Linked DNA regions of Macaca mulatta. The protein of the gene in region 1 purifies or fractionates together with the protein of each later gene. This does not show direct contact. Links are inferred from orthologs where the notes say so. Each region holds a gene or a part of one and is shown in the gene's direction. Other genes may lie near its edges.

Evidence for each region. The genes of interacting proteins can lie anywhere in the genome.
Region 2: the proteins of MED21 (region 1) and POLR2D purify together in Homo sapiens (affinity purification with mass spectrometry; 4 studies listed by BioGRID and IntAct, with this or other methods). This does not show direct contact. The link is inferred for Macaca mulatta from reciprocal best matches to the Homo sapiens genes MED21 and POLR2D.
Region 3: the proteins of MED21 (region 1) and RPAP2 purify together in Homo sapiens (affinity purification with mass spectrometry; 3 studies listed by BioGRID and IntAct, with this or other methods). This does not show direct contact. The link is inferred for Macaca mulatta from reciprocal best matches to the Homo sapiens genes MED21 and RPAP2.

Annotation. Positions count from the first base shown.
Region 1 is NC_133416.1:29,398,850-29,406,250, forward strand, and holds the end of MED21 (mediator of RNA polymerase II transcription subunit 21), read left to right. Parts: intron 1-2,373; coding exon 2,374-2,474; intron 2,475-3,310; coding exon 3,311-3,487; 3' UTR 3,488-4,785; downstream 4,786-7,401. UniProt on the Homo sapiens protein: Component of the Mediator complex, a coactivator involved in the regulated transcription of nearly all RNA polymerase II-dependent genes.
Region 2 is NC_133417.1:9,420,319-9,427,058, forward strand, and holds part of POLR2D (DNA-directed RNA polymerase II subunit RPB4), read left to right. Parts: intron 1-3,460; coding exon 3,461-3,641; intron 3,642-5,886; coding exon 5,887-5,982; intron 5,983-6,740. UniProt on the Homo sapiens protein: Core component of RNA polymerase II (Pol II), a DNA-dependent RNA polymerase which synthesizes mRNA precursors and many functional non-coding RNAs using the four ribonucleoside triphosphates as substrates.
Region 3 is NC_133406.1:148,014,390-148,021,129, reverse strand, and holds part of RPAP2 (putative RNA polymerase II subunit B1 CTD phosphatase RPAP2), read left to right. Parts: intron 1-342; coding exon of another isoform or gene 343-388; intron 389-1,911; coding exon of another isoform or gene 1,912-2,026; intron 2,027-4,379; coding exon of another isoform or gene 4,380-4,410; coding exon 4,411-4,478; intron 4,479-4,662; coding exon 4,663-4,728; intron 4,729-6,740.

The DNA of each region.
Region 1 (7,401 bases):
GAATGTTGAATATTGGCCCCCACTCTCTTCTGGCTTGGAGAGTTTCTGCCGAGAGATCTGCTGTTAGTCTGATGGGCTTCCCTTTGTGGGTAACCCGACCTTTCTCTCTGGCTGCCCTTAAGATTTTTTCCTTCATTTCAACTTTGGTGAATCTGGCAATGATGTGTCTTGGAGTTGCTCTTCTCGAGGAGTATCTTTGTGGCGTTCTCTGTATTTCCTGGATTTGAATGTTGGCCTGCCCTACTAGGTTGGGGAAGTTCTCCTGGATGATATCCTGAAGAGTGTTTTCCAAGTTGGTTCCATTTTCCCCCTCAGTTTCAGGCACCCCAATCAGATGTAGATTTGGTCTTTTTACATAATCCCATACTTCTTGCAGGCTTTGTTCATTTCTTTTTCTTCTTTTTTCTTTTGATTTCTCTTCTCGCTTCATTTCATTCATTTGATCCTCAATCGCAGATACTCTTTCTTCCAGTTGATCGAGTCGGTTACTGAAGCTTGTGCATTTGTCACGTATTTCTTGTGTCATGGTTTTCATCTCTTTCATTTCGTTTATGACCTTCTCTGCATTAATTACTCTAGCCATCAATTCTTCCACTTTTTTTTCAAGATTTTTAGTTTCTTTGCGCTGGGTACGTAATTCCTCCTTTAGCTCTGAGAAATTTGATGGACTGAAGCCTTCTTCTCTCATCTCGTCAAAGTCATTCTCCGTCCAGCTTTGATCCATTGCTGGCGATGACCTGCGCTCCTTTGCCGGGGGAGATGCGCTCTTATTTTTTGAATTTCCAGCTTTTCTGCCCTGCTTTTTCCCCATCTTTGTGGTTTTATCTGCCTCTGGTCTTTGATGATGGTGATGTACTGATGGGGTTTTGGTGTAGGTGTCCTTCCTGTTTGATAGTTTTCATTCTAACAGTCAGGACCCTCAGCTGTAGGTCTGTTGGAGATTGCTTGAGGTCCACTCCAGACCCTGTTTGCCTGGGTATCAGCAGCAGAAGCTGCAGAAGATAGAATATTTCTGAACAGCGAGTCTACCTGTCTGATTCTTGCTTTGGAAGCTTCCTCTCAGGGGTGTACTCCACCCTGTGAGGTATGGGGTGTCAGACTGCCCCTAGTGGGGGATGTCTCCCAGTTAGGCTACTCAGGGTTCAGGGACCCACTTAAGCAGGGAGTCTGTCCCTTCTCAGATCTCAACCTCCGTGTTGGGAGATCCACTGCTCTCTTCAAAGCTGTCAGACAGAGTCGTTTGCGTCTGCAGAGGTTTCGGCTGCGTTTGTTATTGCCCTGTCCCCAGAGGCGGAGTCTACAGAGACAGGCAGGTTTCCTTGAGCTGCTGTGAGCTCCACCTAGTTCGAGCTTCCCAGCAGCTTTGTTTACCTACTTAAGCCTCAGCAATGGCGGGCGCCCCTCCCCCAGCCTGGCTGCTGCCTTGCCGGTAGATCACAGACTGCTGTGCTAGCAATGAGGGAGGCTCCGTGGGTGTGGGACCCTCCGGGCCAGGTGTGGGATATGATCTTCTGGTGTGCCTGTTTGCTTAAAGCGCAGTATTGGGGTGGGAGTTACCCGATTTTCCAGGTGTTGTGTGTCTCAGTTCCCCTGGCTAGGAAAAGGGATTCCCTTCCCCCTTGCGCTTCCCAGGTGAGGCAATGCCTCGCCCTGCTTCAGCTCTTGCTGGTCGGGCTGCAGCAGCTGACCAGCACCGATCGTCCGGCACTCCCCAGTGAGATGAACCCAGTACCTCAGTTGAAAATGCAGAAATCACGGGTCTTCTGTGTCGCTCGCGCTGGGAGTTGGAGACTGGAGCTGTTCCTATTCGGCCATCTTGCTCCACCCCCCTATAAATTTCTTTATTCAAGTGACCACTATATTGTCATGATAAATGAAATGACATACATTATGCTTAATTCCCAATTTGAGCTAAATGTATAACAGGATTGGTGCATATTTAATCATTAGACTCATTAGAATCTTTTTTTTGAGATGGAGTTTCGCTTTGTCACCCAGGCTGGAGTGCAGTGATGCAGTCTTGGCTCACTGCAACTTTTTCCTCCCAGGTTCAAGGGATTCTCCTGCCTCAGCCTCCTGAGTAGCTGGGATTACAGGCACATGCCACCACGCCTGGTTAATTTTTGTATTTTTAGTAGAGAAGGGATTTCACCATGTTGGTCAGGCTGGTCTCAAACTCCTGACCTTGTGATCTGCCCACCTTGGCCTTCCAAAGTCCCGGGATTACAGGTGTGAGCCACCATGCCTGGCCGAATCATTAGAATCTTAGGACAGAAAAAGCTATATGAAGTTTCTGGTTTCATGAACTTAAAATTTGTTTCTGAAAACTTGAGGTTTTCTAATATCCTAATCTAGCAGTATCTTTATCTCTAGAGTATGCCCAGCTTTTTGCAGCACTGATTGCCCGAACCGCAAAAGACATTGATGTTTTGATAGATTCCTTACCCAGTGAAGAATCTACAGCTGCTTTACAGGTAAGCCTCTATTCCTTTGAGAATTTTACCAGTAATAGAGAATTTTGAATTAAAGGAGGTAGATTTAATACCTTTTGTCTGTGTCCATTTGTGCTGCTATAACAACATACCTGAGACAGTAATTTATAAAGAACAAAAATTAATTTTCTCACAGTTCTGGAGTCTGGGAAGTCCAAGATCAAGGCATTTATTACTCATTGTGCATGAGTAATGAATTTTTATTAAACATGGTACCATGTTTAGGACCATGTTGAGGACCTTCTTCCTGTTTCCTCACATGGCTGAAGGCAGAAGGGCAGAAGAGCAAGAGCTCCCTCTTCAACCTCAAGCCATATTTTAAGGGTACTAATTCCATCTATGAGAGCTCTGCCTTCATGACTTAATATCCTCTTAAAGGCCCCTCCCCCTCTTAGTACCATCACATTGGGGATTAGATTTTAATGTATGAATTTTGGAGGGGACACATTCAAATCGTAGTACCTTTTGTGATAATATTCAATTTTCCCTGATAAGAAAACCTCTTATTTTCCTCAATTTTGTCTCTTTTCCTAGTGAAGAATGAGAGGAGGGTGGCATTCTAGATGTGGAGTAGAATAATGGTGTCCAAACGTAGTGTGGAAGGGAGTTACAGATATCTAGAGATCTCTAATTGAAGAGTCATTCTTTTTAATAATTCACATGGGGAAAATTCTTAAAAGTTATCTGATTTTTAGAATTTTTTTACTGAAAAATATATCACAATGATTGCAAAGTCATCCAGATTTAAAAATAAGTACATCTGCGACAGCTTCTCTCCTTCTAAACTCTAAAGATTTTAAAATTTGTGTTTTACAAAGGCTGCTAGCTTATATAAGCTAGAAGAAGAAAACCATGAAGCTGCTACATGTCTGGAGGATGTTGTTTATCGAGGAGACATGCTTCTGGAAAAGATACAAAGCGCACTTGCTGATATTGCACAGTCACAACTGAAGACAAGAAGTGGTAGCCATAGCCAGTCTCTTCCAGATTCATAGCACCAGTGGATACTATGTGGCTGAGAAAAGAACTATTTGAGTGCCATTAATAATTCTGCATCAGACTTAGATACAAGCCTTATCAACAATTACAGAAACATTAAACACTATGACACGTTACCTTTTTAGCTATTTTTAATAGTCTTCTATTTTCACTCTTGATAAATAAGCTTATAAAATCATGACTGAACCAGCTTTAAACCATCATACTCATTTTTTAACTGAGTGAAATTATTGCGGCAGGTAATGCATTAATGAACATAATATAAGGAAACATGTAAAATTCTATTATGACTTAATTTATGTCTTTATTTTGTTGTATTGGCCAGTACTTTTGCAAATCAAAACATCTCTCAAGCCAGAGGAGAAGACAGTAAGAACAGACATAAGGAACATTTTAGTTTAGGCTAGTGTCCTGCCTCTTAGAAGTGGCATTGTGTAAATCTGAGCTTTGAACAAGAAAGTTTTGGAAATTGTATTGCTCTTAAGAAATAGAGTTAGTGTGGCTGGATAAGAAAGTCACATTTATGCAAATATTTCTTCTTCCAGAACCTCATACCTGTTCTAGTTCATCTCCATGTTTATTTTACCAAGAAATTTCTGTGTCAAGAGAATTTCCTTGCTGTTGTGAAAAAATTTTTCTACAGCCTGAACTATTTTTCCTATTTCTTTTCACCTTGCTTTTTTTCATCCTTCTCCTTAATTTGCTTGTCATCACAATGAAGTATGTTTTTTGAATCAATTCTTTCTCATTCTCTTCATTTATCTGAAGGTTCTGTCTTTTACGCTTATTAACCTCTCAACTTTTATTGCTGTATTCTAGTCAGACCAGAACATAACTTCCACTACATCAGTTACTTGGCACCATTTCACCTCAGTTTATTATTGCCAAATAATACTTTGTGTCAGCATTTTCAACTATGGTTACTCATCCAACCCTTGGATCTCTTTGAGTCTACTGATTATCTCTACTGGAAAGGTGGAATTGAAATGTGGTCCACATTTTAACTGGCCATCTCCTGGGGCTGTATTTTTCAGAATATCCTGAGCTACATTTGCTGCAATCTGTTGCTATTCAGAGTTTAAGTTTCAGGAGGAAAAAAAACAATAGAACACTCTGCCTGTTATTTTTGTGGTAATCAAACTTGTCCACAGTTCTTGAAAAGTACTATGTTTCAAATTTCAGGAACACCAGCATTAACTGTAAAAGTTGCAGCAATTTATTGGCTAGTCATAGAAATTTTTTGAACTTTTAACTATGTGTATTTTCATTGATGTTTATTAAAAACACTTTGCTATCACAGACATTTGGCATAAATCTGTACTCTTCATTATAGTTTTGGGGGGAGAGAAGATTTGATCAGAAAACTTTTTCAAAGTACCTAAGTGTTATAAAGGAGTCAAAAAGGTACAAATAAAAAGAAAAGGTCAAGATATTTTTCAAATGAAGGAGAACTAACAGGATTTATCACTAGTAAACCTGCTCTAAAAGAATTGTCAAGGGAAGTTTTTTTCTAAAAAAAATTCTAAAAAAACAGCTGCTAAAAAGATTTCCCTTCTTTCTAGAAGGGAAATTATAGCAGAAGGAAACTTAGAATGGCGGGAATAAAGAAGGCACAATGTGTAGGGTAAATATAACAGACTTCTCTTGAGGTTTTAAAAATTACATTTGTTAATTGAAAGAAAAAAATTAACATTGTTTTATGTGATTCTCTGTAGAGCATATACAGGTTTGTTTTTTTAAGTTGAATTCTCTGTCACCCAAGCTGAAGTGCAGTGCTGTGATCATGACTCACTGCAGCTTCAACCTAGGTTCAGGTGATTCACCCACTTCAGCCTCTTCACTAACTGGGACTACAGGCATGTACTACCATGTCCAGCTAATTTTTTTCTTTCTTTCTTTTTTTTTTTTTTTAAGAGATGGGGTCTCACTCTGTTGCCCAGGCTAATGTCAAACTCCTGACCTCAAGATATTGATACTATACAGTAGACTATAAGAAATTAAGTATTTGTATCATCCCTAGAGCAACACAGATTTTTTCCCTAAAAACCTACACAGATTATTTTCAAAAGCATCAGTACATTAAGGTAGAATACTAAAAAAGATTCAGGTAACCCAGGAACAAGAAACAGAATAAAACAATAGTAAACCTAAATTTTATTTTATTTCATTAATAAAGCAATAATTAAATGTCAATGATCTAAGCTGATTTAAATCTAAAAACTAGATAAGAAGCTGTGGCTTGTAATTAAAGATAGAAATTTATTCACGACCTACAGTTTGCTTTTTTCATATGTAAATTAATAAAAGTTTAATATCCTACTTCTCTGTTTCAGTTCTAGGCACCACTGTCAGTTAACCCTAAAGATTTTTGTGGGTGAAACCATTTTGATTACCGTTTTGCTCTGCTGCCGGATATGGTAACCAAACTCTTTGTTTCTGGATGTTAAATCTTTCCGCTTGTGCTTTAACTACATCCTAACTCCCATCATCTCCATTGAATTTAAGGAGCCAATTTCTTTTTTTGAGATGGAGTTTCACTCTTGTTGCCCAGGCTGGAGTGCAATGGCACAATCTTGGCTTCCCGCAACCTCCGCTTCCCGGGTTCAAGCAATTCTCCTGCCTCAGCCTCCCAAATAACCTGGGATTATAGGCATGCACCACCATGCCTGGCTAATTTTGTATTTTTAGTAGAGACGAGGTTTCTCCATATTTATCAGGCTGGTCTCTAACTCCCGACCTCAGGTGATCCACCCACCTCGGCCTCCCAAAGTGCTGGGATTACAGCCATGAGGCACTGCCCCTGGCCAGAAGCCAATTTCAATGGGCGTATCCTTTATCACTCCTGACCTGTGATAATAGCCATTAGAGCTTTTCAAGAATAGTACCCCCTGCCAATGATTTTTTTTTAAGCCTTAATGAAGAGAGTGTCCTCTGGGTCCTTCCAGAGAAGATAGGATGTGAGTGAGTAAGTTATGTGTAATTTCACCCCTTGATACCATTCCTTGATACCATTCCCTGTATACCAAGGAAGGATATTCTGGCATTTCACTTTGGTTTAATATAAGTAAATCCTGTGTCTAGGCATTAGTTAACAAACCAAGTGACTACAAGTGATAAGTAACTTTTACCATAGACTGTCAATTACCTTGGCAATGGAAACATTATTGCCTTTTGATCCAGTCAGATCAGAGAACAAATTCCAGATTTCCATCCCTAAGATTCTGTGTCTCCGCTACCACTTCTGGTAGCAAAACGTGTCAATATGAGGTAGACTTAATGCAATGTAGCCATGAGAAATAATGCTCCTACAAACATTACAGGAATAAGGAATTTGATCAAGGAATTGCATTTACACAAAATACGGGAAGAGTTAGGGAAGTGAAAGAATGAAAGAAGGAGAATAAAAAAAAATTCACTAACCACATCACTCTGAAGCCATTATTGCTAACAAGGTTATTGTAGTGCCAGTTAAGTCCAGGTCACCCAAGACATACACACCCCTTGGCCCCACTTGGAAAACTGTGTGATACGACTATTGGATTAGGGGGTTCTCAAAGCCAAAATGGATTTATCAGCAATGACCTTACTGCCTAGTACCCAGCTTCGAGAGGACCAAAAACGATGTTTGTGTCTTGCATTCCCAGGTCCCTCTTTCTTCTTTTACCCATATCTAAGTTGTTTAAAGGAGAAATATCCTTAGGTTTAAGCCATATTCTCTCTATTCTTGAAGGACCACAGACTCTATACCCCTGCGGAATTTTCTGGAAGCCTATGGGAAAGGAGGAAAGAAGGAAAGAAAAGCTTCATGGTTTCTTAATACGGGTGCCTAAATTACTATGATAACTGGTCCAGTAAGGAGAAGGGGCACCTGAATTCAACTTGGGGGCTGGGCAAGGTAACCAGTGAGGTA
Region 2 (6,740 bases), on another chromosome or scaffold:
TTTTTTTTTTTTGAGGCAAGATCTCATTCTGCTACCCAGGTTGGAGTGCAGTGGTGTGATCACAGCTCACTGCAGCCTCAACCTTCCCAGGCTCAGGTAATCCTCCCACCTCACTTCAGCCCCTGGAGTACCTGGAACTACAAGTGCACACCACCACACCTGGCTAGTTTTTGTATTTTTTTTGTGGAGACAAGATTTCAGCATGTGGCCCAGGCTGGTCTTGAATTCCTGGGCTCAAGTGGTCTACCTGCCTTAGCTGCCTGAAGTGTTAGAAAGTACAGGTGTGAGCCACTGCACCGGGCCTATTAATGGTCGTGATGACGGAACCTTACTAAAATTTCCAGATGACATACTGGCCAAGGAATTGTTTTCCTTTTTTAGCAACAGGGATTAATTATGGCCATTGTTCTTTTTTTTTTTTTTTTTTTTTGAGACGGAGTCTCGCTGTGTCTCCCAGGCTGGAGTGCAGTGGCGCGATCTCGGCTCACTGCAAGCTCCGCCCCCTGGGTTCACGCCATTCTCCCGACTCAGCCTCCCAAGTAGCTGGGACTACAGGCGCCCGCTACCACGCCCGGCTAATTTTTTTGTATTTTTAGTAGAGACGGGGTTTCACCGTGTTAGCCAGGATAGTCTCCATCTCCTGAACTCGTGATCCACCCGCCTCGGCCTCCCAAAGTGCTGGGATTACAGGCTTGAGCCACCGCGCCCGGCCCATGGCCATTGTTCTTAAAATATTTGCACAAGAGAATAACATGCAGATCCCCTGATCTATTTCCTTTTGTTTCCAAATAAATTTTGTGTGTGTGTGTGTATGCTTTCACTTGAAAATGTTTATTGGAATTAGCCATGGGGAGAAGTCTTGGATTCCTCCTCTCTGTAGTTATACAAAAGTGTCTGAACTGCCTCCCCCATCCCCATTTTGTTGATGGCGAATCCTGGGAATGCCTCCCAAAAGCTCTGTGGTAGGTCTCAGACACCCCTTTCCTAGGCCCTCTGAGTTACAGTTTGGCTGCCTTGACCTTCCTTGGTTGAAGGGAGTGAGGGTAATGTATTAGTAGTACTTGAATATTGTTCTTAATGAGAAATAGGGACAGTTGACTAGTTTCCTGGTGGCCTAAAAGTTCCATTCCTTTCCATTTAACAAGTAATTTTGGTTTAGTGCAGAAAGGGAGGCATCTGTTTTGTTTTGTTTTGTTTTTTTGAGACAGAGTGTTTCACTCTTGTTGCCTAGGCTGGAGTGCAGTGGCACAATCTCGGCTCACCGCAACCTCCACCTCCTGGGTTCAAGCGATTCTCCTGCCTCAGCCTGAGTAGCTGGGATTACAGGCATGTGCCACCATGCCCGACTAATTTTTGTATTAGTAGAGATGGGGTTTCACCATGTTAGGCTGGTCTCGAACTCCTGACTTTAGGTGATTCACCTGACTTGGCCTCCCAAAGTGCTGGGATTACAGGCATGAGCCACGGCGCCCAGCCTGGGATGCATCTCTTAACATTGATTTTTCCAGGACCTGTAAAAGCATCAAAGTTCCAACACACCGATTTGTAACTGATTAGCTACTTCTTCCCTTTTTTGTTTTGGCCTGATGTCATTTGTTACTGTCGCTTCAGAGTTTGGAGGTCCTGCAGTCCTGATATATAATGCCTTTTCCTCTACTCATTGCTGTGAGGCAGTAGTTTCTTCTGTACCTACAGTGCCTCAGTGTTAAAGATTAAAAGAAGTAAAGTTCCTGGTATACAAATAGGCACTCACTGTAGTACATCCCCTGTTATAGGCTGGAAGACAGAAAAAGGTGTTCTGAGGTTTTTGTTTAAACTCTCCTGCCCTCAGGTAGAAAATAGCTTTTGGTTACCTATTTTTTTTATTTAGATTTTAATTTTATTTCAATAGTGCTCCAGCTGTATTGGTAGCCTATTATATTCAGTAGCAATGAGTACCTTTCAAATAAAAATAGACTTTCCTCCTGACCTACCACTTAAACTGTCTGTGTTGTGAAAGGAGAATGAGGCTCTTGTCAGTTACCCGGCTTGAGAATTGGGAAGGCGTTACTCTGAGGGAGGTGTTAGTGATTTCCCCGATAATAAACAGACCTATAGCACGTGTAAATGTGAAATTGCAAGTCATTCTGGCTTTTCCTCACTGTTGCTTCCTTTTCGGTGAGGGATTATAAACATGAATTCGTGTTTATGAATGGTTCCTGCTCTAGGGGAATTCACTGTTAAGAGAAGGACAGATAAAAACGATCTCTAATATTTTGAGATAAACATCAGGAACATAAGATCCTGCAGGAACATAAGGGAGAGAGTGATTTTCCCAAGGGGTAACAGCATTTTTTAACAGAACTATTCTAGAAGTGTAGAAGGTAGCCATATATTATGAAAAGGGGCCATGGGTTTCTTTTTCTCTCAAACCTAATTCTTAAAAATTGCTTATAACATTTGTGTGGGTACAAAAATAGATTTGGGGGTACATTATTAATGTTTATTTCTAGACATTTGGCTCTTTTTAACACGTAACAATTCTTAAAATTGAGAGTATAATACTAGCATTATCGAAGTAGGAAGATGATGAGCTGATGCAGGCTAGAGGGCAGTAATTGTCAGTGTACTCTTGAAATCAGTAACTAGGCTATATGTGTCACTACTTAGTAGCATGTCTAGGTCAGGTTTTTGGTGTCAGAATCTAGTTCAGACAAGCTAAATGTTAGTGTCTCGTGAACTCCACTTTGCCTTGTGATATGTAACTGTGGGTGAATGTAAAGATGTGAGTAGCTGCAGCCATAAAAAAGAACGAGATCCCAGCCTTGGCAGCACGGCGAAACCCCCGTCTCTACCAAAATCATACAGGGCGTGGTGGTGCGTGCCTGCAGTCCAGCTACCTGGCAGGCTGGGGTGGGGGTGGGGGGTCACCTGAGCTCAGGGAGGTCAAGGCTAGTGTGAACTGTATTCATGCCACTACACTCCAGCCTGGGTGACAGATTGAGACCCTGTTTCCAAAAAAAAAATAAAAGAACGAAATCATGTCTTTTGTAGCAACATGGATGGAGCTGGAGGCATTCACTTAAGCAATTAACACAGGAACAAAAAACCAAGTACCTCACATTCTTATAAGTGGGAGTTAAACCTTGAATACATATGAACAGAAGGGAACAACAGACACTGAGGCCTAGTTGAGGGGGTGGATGGTGCGGATTGAAAAACTACCTGTCAGTACTATGCTTATCACTTGGATGACAAAATGGTCTGTTCACCAAACCCTCACAACACCCATTTCCCCTGTATTACAGACCTGCACATGTACCCTGAACCTAAAATAACAGTTCGAAAAAAAGTAGATGTGGGGTAGGAAACCCCTGGATCTCTGCAGGGAGATCATTGTGCATTCAGATGCACAATGAACATTTAGAAGCAAACTTTTGAAGGAGTATTTTCAGCTGCCATTTATGCTTCTCACAAATAGAGTTTGAAACAGCTGAGACACTTCTAAATTCAGAAGTTCATATGCTTCTGGAACATCGAAAGCAACAGAATGAGAGTGCAGAGGATGAACAGGAACTCTCAGAAGTCTTCATGAAAACATTAAACTACACAGCCCGTTTCAGTCGTTTCAAAAACAGAGAGACCATTGCCAGTGTTCGTAGGTGAGTGCTAAAAGAAAGTTTTTATTAATCCAAACCGTTGGACAACTGCATGTGGACTGCTGTCCCCTCCCCCTTTCCCAGGTGTCACCTGTGAATTTAAGTAAAATAATGTTGGGCTGGGCATGGCGGCTCACACCTATGCTCCTAGCACTTTGGGACATTGAGGCAGCAGATCACTTGAGGCCAGATGTTCAAGACCAGCCTGGTCAACATAGCAAAAACCTGTCTCTACTAAAAATGCAAAAATTAGCTGGGTGTGATGGTATACACCATGAATCCCAGCTACTCAGGAGGCTGAGGTGGGAGAATCGCTTGAACCTGCAGGCCAAGGTTGCAGTGAGCCGAGATTGCGCCACTGAACTCCAGCCTGGGTAACTTAGAAGACCAAAATTTCAGCCAAGTGTGGTGGCTTACACCTATAATCCACACTTTGCGGGGCTGAGGTGGACCAGTCTCTTGAGGCCAGAAGTTCAAGACCAGCATGGGCAACATGGTGAAACTCCTGTCCCTACAAAAAAAATACAAAAATTAGCCAGGTGTAGTGGCAGGTACCTGTGGTCCTAGTTACTTGGGAGGCTGAAGTGGGAGGATCATGTGAGCCCGGGAGGTTAGGCTTTAGTGAACTGTGATTGTACCACTTTACTCCAGTCTGGGAACAGATTCAAATATGACTCTGTCGTATTTTATATAAGTCCAGTATGTGTGATCCAAATGGTACTGTTAGTGGGGAAGTAAGGTTTTTTCGTTATTTTTTTGTAGCGATGGGGAGACTTACTGTGTTGCCTAGGCTGGTCTCAAACTCCTGGCCTCAATTGATCTCCCACCTTAGCCCCCCAAAATGCTGGGATTGGCCGGGTGCGGTGACTCACGCCTGTAATTCCAGCACTTTGGGAGACCGAGATGGGCAGATCACTTGAGGTCAGGAATTCGAGACCAGCCTGACCAAAATGGTGAAATCTCGTCTGTACTAAAAATACAAAAATTAGCTGGGCGTGGTAGCGCACACCTGTAGTCCCAGCTACTTGGGAGCCTGAGAAAGGATAATTGCTTGAACCTGGGAGGTGGAGGTAGCAGTGAGCCAAGATCGTGCCACTGCACTCCAGCCTGGGTGGCAGAGTGAGACTCCATCTTAAAAAAAAAAAAGACTCGATCTCAAAAAAAAAAAAAAGCACTTGAATTAGAAGTAAGCCACCATGTCCAGCCTATATATATATATGTGTATATATATAATTTTTTTTGATAACAGTATTTGTACATATGTGTGAGGTACACGTGATATTTTGTTACTTAGAATGTGTAATGAGTATGTTAGGGTGTTTAGGGTGTTGATCATTTCTATGTATTAGGAACAGTTCAAGTCTTCTCCCCTAGCTATTTTTATTTTCTGTATTTATTCATTTATTTTAGAGACAGGGTCTCACTATGTTGCCCAGGCTGAGATGTCTTGAACTTCTGGACTCGAGTGATCCTCCTGCCTTGGCCTCCTCCCAAAGTGCTAGGGTTACAGGCATGAGCTGCTAAGCCCGACCTCCTCTACCTTTTTTTTGTTTTGTTTCATTTTGATTTGAGACAGTCTCACTTCATCACTCAGATTGGAGTGGTGCAATCTTGGCTCACTTCTACCTCTGCCTCCCAGGTTAAAGCAGTTCTCATGCCCCAGCCTCCCATGTAGCTGAGACTACAGACATATACCACCACACCCGGCTGATTTTTTTTTTTTTTGAGATGGAGTCTAGTTCTGTCACCCAGGCTAGGGTGCAGTGGCGTGATCTTGGCTCACTGCGACCTCTGCCTCCCGGGTTCAAGTGATCTTGCCTCAGCCTCCTGAGTAAGCTGGGTTTACCGGTGCCCACCACTGCACCCAGCTAATTTTTGTATTTTTAGTAGAGATGAGGTTTCACTGTGTTGGCCAGGCCAGGCTGGTGATCTGCCCGCCTCGGCCTTCCAAAGTGCTGGGATTACAGGCATGAGCCACTGAGCCTGGCCAATTTTTGTATTTTTAGTAGAGACGGGGTTTTGCCGTGGTGCTCAGGCTGGTCTAGAACTCCTCACGTCAAGTGTAGCCCACCTTGGCCTCTCAGAGTGCTAGAATTAGAGATGCGAGCCATGACACCTGGCCGTCTAGCTATATTTAAATACTGGCTACATTTGATCCCTTTTTTCCTGTTGATTATTCTTTTGATTTTTGTTGTTTCTTTGTTTTTGATTTTTTTGTTTTGATTTTTTTTTTTTTCCTTTTGATTAGCTTGCTACTCCAGAAAAAGCTTCACAAGTTTGAGTTGGCCTGTTTGGCCAACCTTTGCCCAGAGACTGCTGAGGAGTCCAAGGCTCTAATCCCAAGGTTAGTACCAGTTGTGATAAGTTCTCTGTATACTGGATAAATTCCTACAAATAGAATTGGTGTGTCTAAAATGTGTATGCATTATATATTTGGATACATGATTGCCAATATTAAATGAAAGTGCCTTTTTTGTTCAATATTTCAAAGCACGTTTCCTGCTTATTAACAGTGTGTGAGAATGATGGTTTTATACCACACCAAGTGAGAGCAAAAATCTGAAACAGCTGGAACTTCCGTACGCTGATGGTAGGGGTGTGAGTGTTAATTACAACAGTCATTTTGGAGAGCAATTTGGCTGTGTCTGGTAAAGATGAATATACTCCATGTTCCAAATATCCATTCCTGATACATATCTCAAAGGTAACTCACACAAGTTTACAAGGAGACGTATATTCTAGTGTTCATTGCTGCACTGTTTTGTTTCTGCTTTTGTTTTTAGTAGACATGGGGTTTCACCATGTTGGCCAGGCTGGTCTCAAACTTCCGGCCTCAAGTGATCTGCCCACTTTGACCTCCCAAGGTGCTGGGATTACAGGCATGAGCCTCAGTGCCCGGCCTCATGCTGCACTGCTAATGATAGCAGAAATTTGATCATCTCTTAGTCAATAAGAAAGTGGATAAATGAATCGTTGTATAGTCACACAATGTTTATTGTACGGCAGTGAAAACAGTCAGTGAACTAGAACCACGTGGAATATCAACATGTCAGAATGAATTCTGAGGAAAAATGGCAGAAGGATAAACACAGTGTGGTGCCA
Region 3 (6,740 bases), on another chromosome or scaffold:
GCCTGACCTACTGCCACCATGTGTAGCTTAACTGCGGGGATGCATTTTGAGAAATGCGTTGTTAAGCGATTTCATCCTTATGTGACCATCATAGAGTGCACTTACACAAACTTAGATGGTATAGCCTACTTACACACTAGGCTATATGGTACAGCCTATTGTTCCCAGGCTGCAAACCTGCACAGCATGTTACTGTACTAAGTACTGTAGGCAATTGTATATCTAAACATAGAAAAGGTACGGTAAAAATACAGTATTTTAGTCTTATGAGACCGCTGTCTGTATGCTGTCCGTCGTTTACGAAATGTCATTATGTGGCACATGACTGTATTTTTGTTGTAGGTACTAAACAGACAACTACTTTGAAACAAGAAGATGCTTCTAAAAGGTATGACAGCTACATGGACAACTACAATGGCATATCTACTTATCTCATATTACTTGTACCAATTTTAAAACTAATAGTTACCTTTTTTTATTTTTAGAGAAAATTATCATGAGAGGGAAGGGAAAGATCTGGGAAGGCCTATAAATTCTCACATAGACTGTTAACATTCCTCTACTCCAGGCTTTAAGAAAACCAAACTAAGCACTCAGACTGCTAGTGAAGGCGTGAGTGTCTGTAGAAGGTGTTTGTTTTTCACCACTTCAGGTACACTCCCCTTTTATTGCTTTATATGCCAGAGACTCACTCTCCAAGTTTCTCTGTCACTCCAAGAAACCTTTTCTGTTCTTTGTTACATCAAGTCCAGATTTTCATCAAAAAGCTGTCCTGGCCGGGCATGGTGGCTCACATCTGTAATCCCAGCACTTTGGGAGGCCGAGGCGGGTGGATTACGAGGTCAGGAGATCGAGACCATCCTGGCTAACACGATGAAACCCCATCTCTACTAAAAATACAAAAAATTAGCCGGGCATGGTGGCGGGCGTCTGTGGTCCCAGCTACTCGGTAGGCTGAGGCAGGAGAATGGCGTGAACCCGGGAGGTGGAGCTTGCGGTGAGCTGAGATCGCGCCACTGCACTCCAGCCTGGGCAACAGAGTGAGACTCTGTCTCAAAAAAAGAAAAAAGCTGTCTTGTACTAGTTCTGGTTCTCAAAAGGCAAGATATTACCACATATCACACAAAGTTTTAGAAGAGGAATAGAATGTGAAGGGTATTAAAAGTATATGTAGCTATGATTTTCATTTTGTGAAGACTTATTAATCTTATATTGACTTTGGTCTTAATTTACTCATTCTTTCAAAAATTATTTACTGAGTATAAGATATACCAGACCTGTGTTAGGCTCTGAAGATATGGTGAACAGAATAGACACAATTCTTGTCTAGTGGAACAGAGGAATAAATAATAGTTAATTAACATAAACACATAATTACAAATTGTGATAAGCACTATGAAGGAAAAGGCTGTGATGTTACGAGAAAGAATAATCAAGTCTAATTTAGTTGGAAGTGGGTGGCAAGGAGGTTAGTTGTGAGTTTTCAGGGAAAGCCTTATGCTGAGACCTGCATGCTAAGTAGACATTAACCAGACAAAGAGTATATAAAGATTTCTGTATGTGCAGTGCAAAAAGTAGCTTGTTTCCTTTTTGAAAAGTATTGGATCAAAAGTAACAGCATTAGAAAATAGAAATTTGGCCGGATATGGTGGCTTATGCTGGTGATCCCAGCACTTTGGGAGGCTGAGGTGGGAGTATTACTTGAAGCCAGGAGCTTGAGACCCGTCTAAGCAGCATAGTGAGACCTTGTCTTTACAACTAAAAATAAATAAATATTTTTATTCAAAAAAATTTTTAAATATGTTTAAATTTAAGTGGCAAAATAGTGAGTTAGGTTAGTGTTGTATTTTAAAAAATGGAATATTGGACATGAAGCTTATAAGTAGATTAACTTTCTCTTTCAAATTTTAGGAAAGCAGAACTAGAAGCAGCTGTGAGAAAGAAGATTGAATTTGAAAGAAAAGCTCTACATATTGTTGAACAGCTTTTAGAAGAGAATATTACAGAAGAGTTCCTAATGGAGTGTGTATGTGTTAAGTTGACAAATTATTAGTTTTGTAGTATAACATCTTTAAATCTGTGCAACATGAAACTTCTTTGCATTATTAAAATCTTTGAATTTGTTCTCAGTCATTAGATGCAGATAACAATCTATATAATTCATGCATTTTAAAATAAACAACTATCATGCATTCCTTGTATAATGACTTTAAAATGCACTAATGAAAAATAACAAGTACATAACAAGGTGATGACAGGTAATGTATATTTCAAAATTAATAAGAGTGGATTTCAAATATTCTCACCATAAAGGATAAATATGTGAGGTGATGGATATGTTAATTAGCCTGATTTGGTCAACATATACATGTGTTAAAACATCACATACTACCCCACAAATATATACAATTATTATTGTCAATTAAAAAGCAAAAAGAGGCCAGGCACAATGGTTCATGCCTGTAATCCCAGCACTTTGGGAGGCCAAGGTGGTTGGATCACTTGAGGTCAGGAGTTTGGGACCAGCCTAGCCAACATGGTGGAACCCTGTTTCTACTAAAAATACAAAATTAGGCAGGTGTGGCTCATGCCTGTAATCCCAGCTGCTCGGGAGGCTGAGGCATGAGAATCACCTGAACTCAGGAGGCAGAGGTTGCAGTGAGCTGAGATCACGCCACTGCACTCCAGCCTGGGCAACAAGAGCTAGAACCTGTCTCAAAACAAATAAATAATAAATGGAAAAAAAGAAAAATGAGGATGAGGGAGAAAAAAAAAAAGAAAAAGCAAGTATATTTTGCCCTTAGTCGTAGTTCTTTTAACCAGTCTGCTAATATCACTTGATTTTCTTCAGTTTGTTCTATGATTGCAATTCCAGTTTTCTATATTCTGTGTTGTATTATTTTAAGTAACAGAAGAATATTATTTTTGTCAATGTAATTTCATCAATTTTCATATTTCAAAAACCTGAAATACAGATCATTTATGACTATAAAACAGGAGAATTAAGTTCCACATTAATTTTTTTTTTTTTTTTGAGATGGAATCTGTTGCCCAGTCTGGAGTGCAGTGGTGCAGTCTCGGCTCTGCAAGCTCTGCCTCCCAGGTTCATGCCGTTCTCCTACTTCAGCCTCCCGAGTAGCTGGACCTACAGGAACCCACCATCAGGCCCGGCTAATTTTTTTGTATTTTTGGTAGAGATGGAGTTTCACCGTGTTAGCCAGGATGGTCTCGATCTCCTGATCTCGTGATCCGTCCGCCTCGGCCTCCCAGAGTGCTGGGCTTACAGGCGTGAGCCACCACACCCGGCGCACATTAAATTTTTTTAGGCCAAGCAGGATGGCTCATACCTGTAATCCCAGCACTTTGGGAAGCCAAGGCAGTAGGATTGCTTGAGCCCAGGAGTTTGAGACCAGTCTGGAAAACACAGTGAGACCCTGTCTAAATAAAAATTTGAGAATAAAAAAATTTTTAAACAGCTTCACTACATTAAAATTTTGAATGGAAATTTCTTTTATATTCTCGTAATCCTTAAGAGAGCAAATGAAAACTCAAAGCTTCTATTACAAAAACACTTCTTAGTATAGTCCATAGATCTTTTTCTACAACAGGAATATGAACATGACAAGTCATATTTTTATTGACACAGGTAACTGCATCAGTATCTGCATATATGATGACACCAGAAAAGACAAAAGCAAATATGCTTCATTTGAAACATAAAACTTATATCACTCTCAATAAAAAGTATTTCAGTCCCTGTGAAAACAGAAAAATTTGTTAAAAGATCTCAAAGTTAAGAACAAGAATCAAGATTATTTGAACATGAAGATGTCAAAGGAAACTATTTGATGTTAGCTTATAACCATCACCTCACCACTGTACAGATTTTTCAGAAGTGGGAAAATTTTGCACAGACTGTTCAGGAGTCACAATGACACTTTTGAAATACATTGTTGTTAAAGATTATGCTTTAAAAAATAGGTAAAATTATATTTTATTACTTTGTTATTTAATTTTTTAAATGTTTTTTTAAAAATAAAAGATACTGTTGTCATTTAGCTTGTGTATAGCTATAGCATCACTTCTTCCTCATGCCTCAGAATTATTTCACTTAACTATATAATCTACAAAGATGCAGAGACTACTGTGGCAGACTTTTTTTTAATAACTTTTTTTCGAATGCTTACTATATGTTGAGCACTTCTCTAAGTGATTTTGCTTTATTTTCTCCTCTAATTCTAACCTCTAACTTATCTAACTTATGAGGGAGGTACTATTGCTATCCCTGTGTTTTCAGGTAAGATCGATGAGGCTTACAGAGCTGATAAATGAACTTTTCTATTAAACTAGGAGGAAATAACCCTCTCATTTCATTTTAGGGGAAGTTCATTACACCTGCTCACTACAGCGATGTCGTGGATGAACGTTCTATTGTCAAACTCTGTGGTTATCCTTTATGTCAGAAGAAGCTGGGAATTGTAAGTAACTCATTTTTTTTCTTATTTTCAGTTAGCAAAATACTTTGTTGTAAGAATAAGAAATGAAACCTAAGGTCATGAACTAAAGGCATGGATTGGCCAATGATATGATATGTAGATTTGTAACATAAGTTTCATGTTTATTATTTGGATTCTTTTGTAAGCTGTACTTTCTTTTCTTTAGGTACCAAAACAGAAATATAAAATTTCTACCAAGACCAATAAAGTCTATGATATTACTGAAAGAAAGGTGAGTTTAAAGGCTTTCATCGTCGCAATTAATTGTTTTTCTTTACTAACCACTATCCTAACAAGGAATGGCAATTAATTTTTGATGATATTAAATAGGATTCTAAAAGAAACTGTTTAAAATCTTACTGGTTAGAAAATAGTGGTGTTAAAAGTTTGGTTTTATTTGTAAATATTTCAGTCAAGGTATTAAAAATTGTTTTGCTTAAGCTTCAATTAAGACTTTAACATTTAAAAGTTAAAAGTGCATAGTGGCACAAATCTAGGCAAATAAATCATGGAACAGAATAGAGAGTCAGTAACAGACTAAACACATATGTAGACACTTGATATATGACAGCAGGAGTATTGTAGATCAGTAGAGAAAGGATGGATTTTTCAATAAATTATACTGGCACAATTAGTTATGCAAATAGAAAAAAAATGAAAATTGATGCCTATCTCAGTCTGTACACACAGATCAATTTTAGGTAGATTAAAGACATAAATGTAAAAGGTAGATTCTTTTTGAAGACACTATGGGAGAGGCCGGGCATGGTGGCTCACACCTGTAATCCTAGCACTTTGGGAGGCCAAGGTGGGCAGATTACCTGAGCTCAAGGAGTTGGAGGCCAGCCTGGGCAATGGCGAAACCCTGTCTCTACAAAGTAAAGTACAAAAATCAGCCAAATGTGGTGGTACGCATCTGTAGTCCCAGCTACTTAGGAAGCTGAGACACATGAATCGCTTGAACCTGGGAGGCAGAGGTTACAGTGAGCCAAGATCATGCCACTGCGCTCCAGCCTGGGCAACAGAGCGAGGCACTGTCTTCAAAAAAAAAAAAGACAATAGGCCGGTGCCGTGGCTCAAGCCTGTAATCCCAGCACTTTGGGAGGCTGAGGCGGGCGGATCATGAGGTCAGGAGATCGAGACCATCCTGGGTAACATGGTGAAACCCCATCTGTACTAAAAAATACAAAAAATTAGCCAGGCGTGGTGGTGGGCTCCTGTAGTCCCAGCTACTCCGGAGGCTGAGGCAGGAGAATGGCATGAGCCTGGGAGGCAGAGCTTGCAGTGAGCCGAGATCGCACCACTGCACTCCGGCCTGGGCGACAGAGCGAGACTTCATCTCAAAAAAAAAAAGAAGAAAGAAAAAAAATATGGGAAGATATAAACTTGGGGTAGAGAGACTTTATAAAATAAGATGGAAAATTTTAGGCCAAAGAGGAGAAACTGATAAACATTTCTATATTAAAATGTTAAATTTTTGTTCATCAGAAGTTTCAAAAAAAAGAATGAAAAGAGAAGCCACAAAGCAGAATGTTGTTATTTCATGTAACTGACCATAGAATCATATCTAGAATATATGATCTATAAGAAAAAGACACACAAACTAATAGAAAAATTTACACAAGGAACTTGAATGGCTAATAAACATATGAAAAGATGCTCAATATTATCAGTAATCAGAGAAATAGCAAATAAAAGCACATTGAGTTATGTTTTCACAGCCCACAAAATGGCCAATATTAGGAAATCTTTTTGCAACTAGTGGGAATCAAAATTGGTGCAACCTTTTTGAGAAATGGTTTGGCACTTGTCTGGTGAAGTCTTTGCACATTCTTTGTAATTAAGCCTTTCTATTCCTTGGTATAAACCCTAATAAAATTATTACACATGTGCACCAGCATGTATATATAAAAATGTTTATAGCTGGATAAACAATGTGGTATATACACACAATGGAATATTAGCCTTAAAAAAAGGAAAGAAATTCTGACACATGCTACAAGGTGGATGAACCTTGAAAATAATATGCTAAGTGAAATAAGCCAGCACAAAAGGACAAATACTATATGCTTTCACTTACATGAGGTACCTAGAGAAGTCAAATTACTAGAGACAGAAAGTAGAATGATCATTAAGAGAGGTGGGAATGGGAAGTTAGTGTATAGGGTTTCAGTTTTGTAAGATAAAAAGAGTTCTAAAGATGAATGGTGGTAATAGTTACACAACAGTGTGAAGGCACTTAAT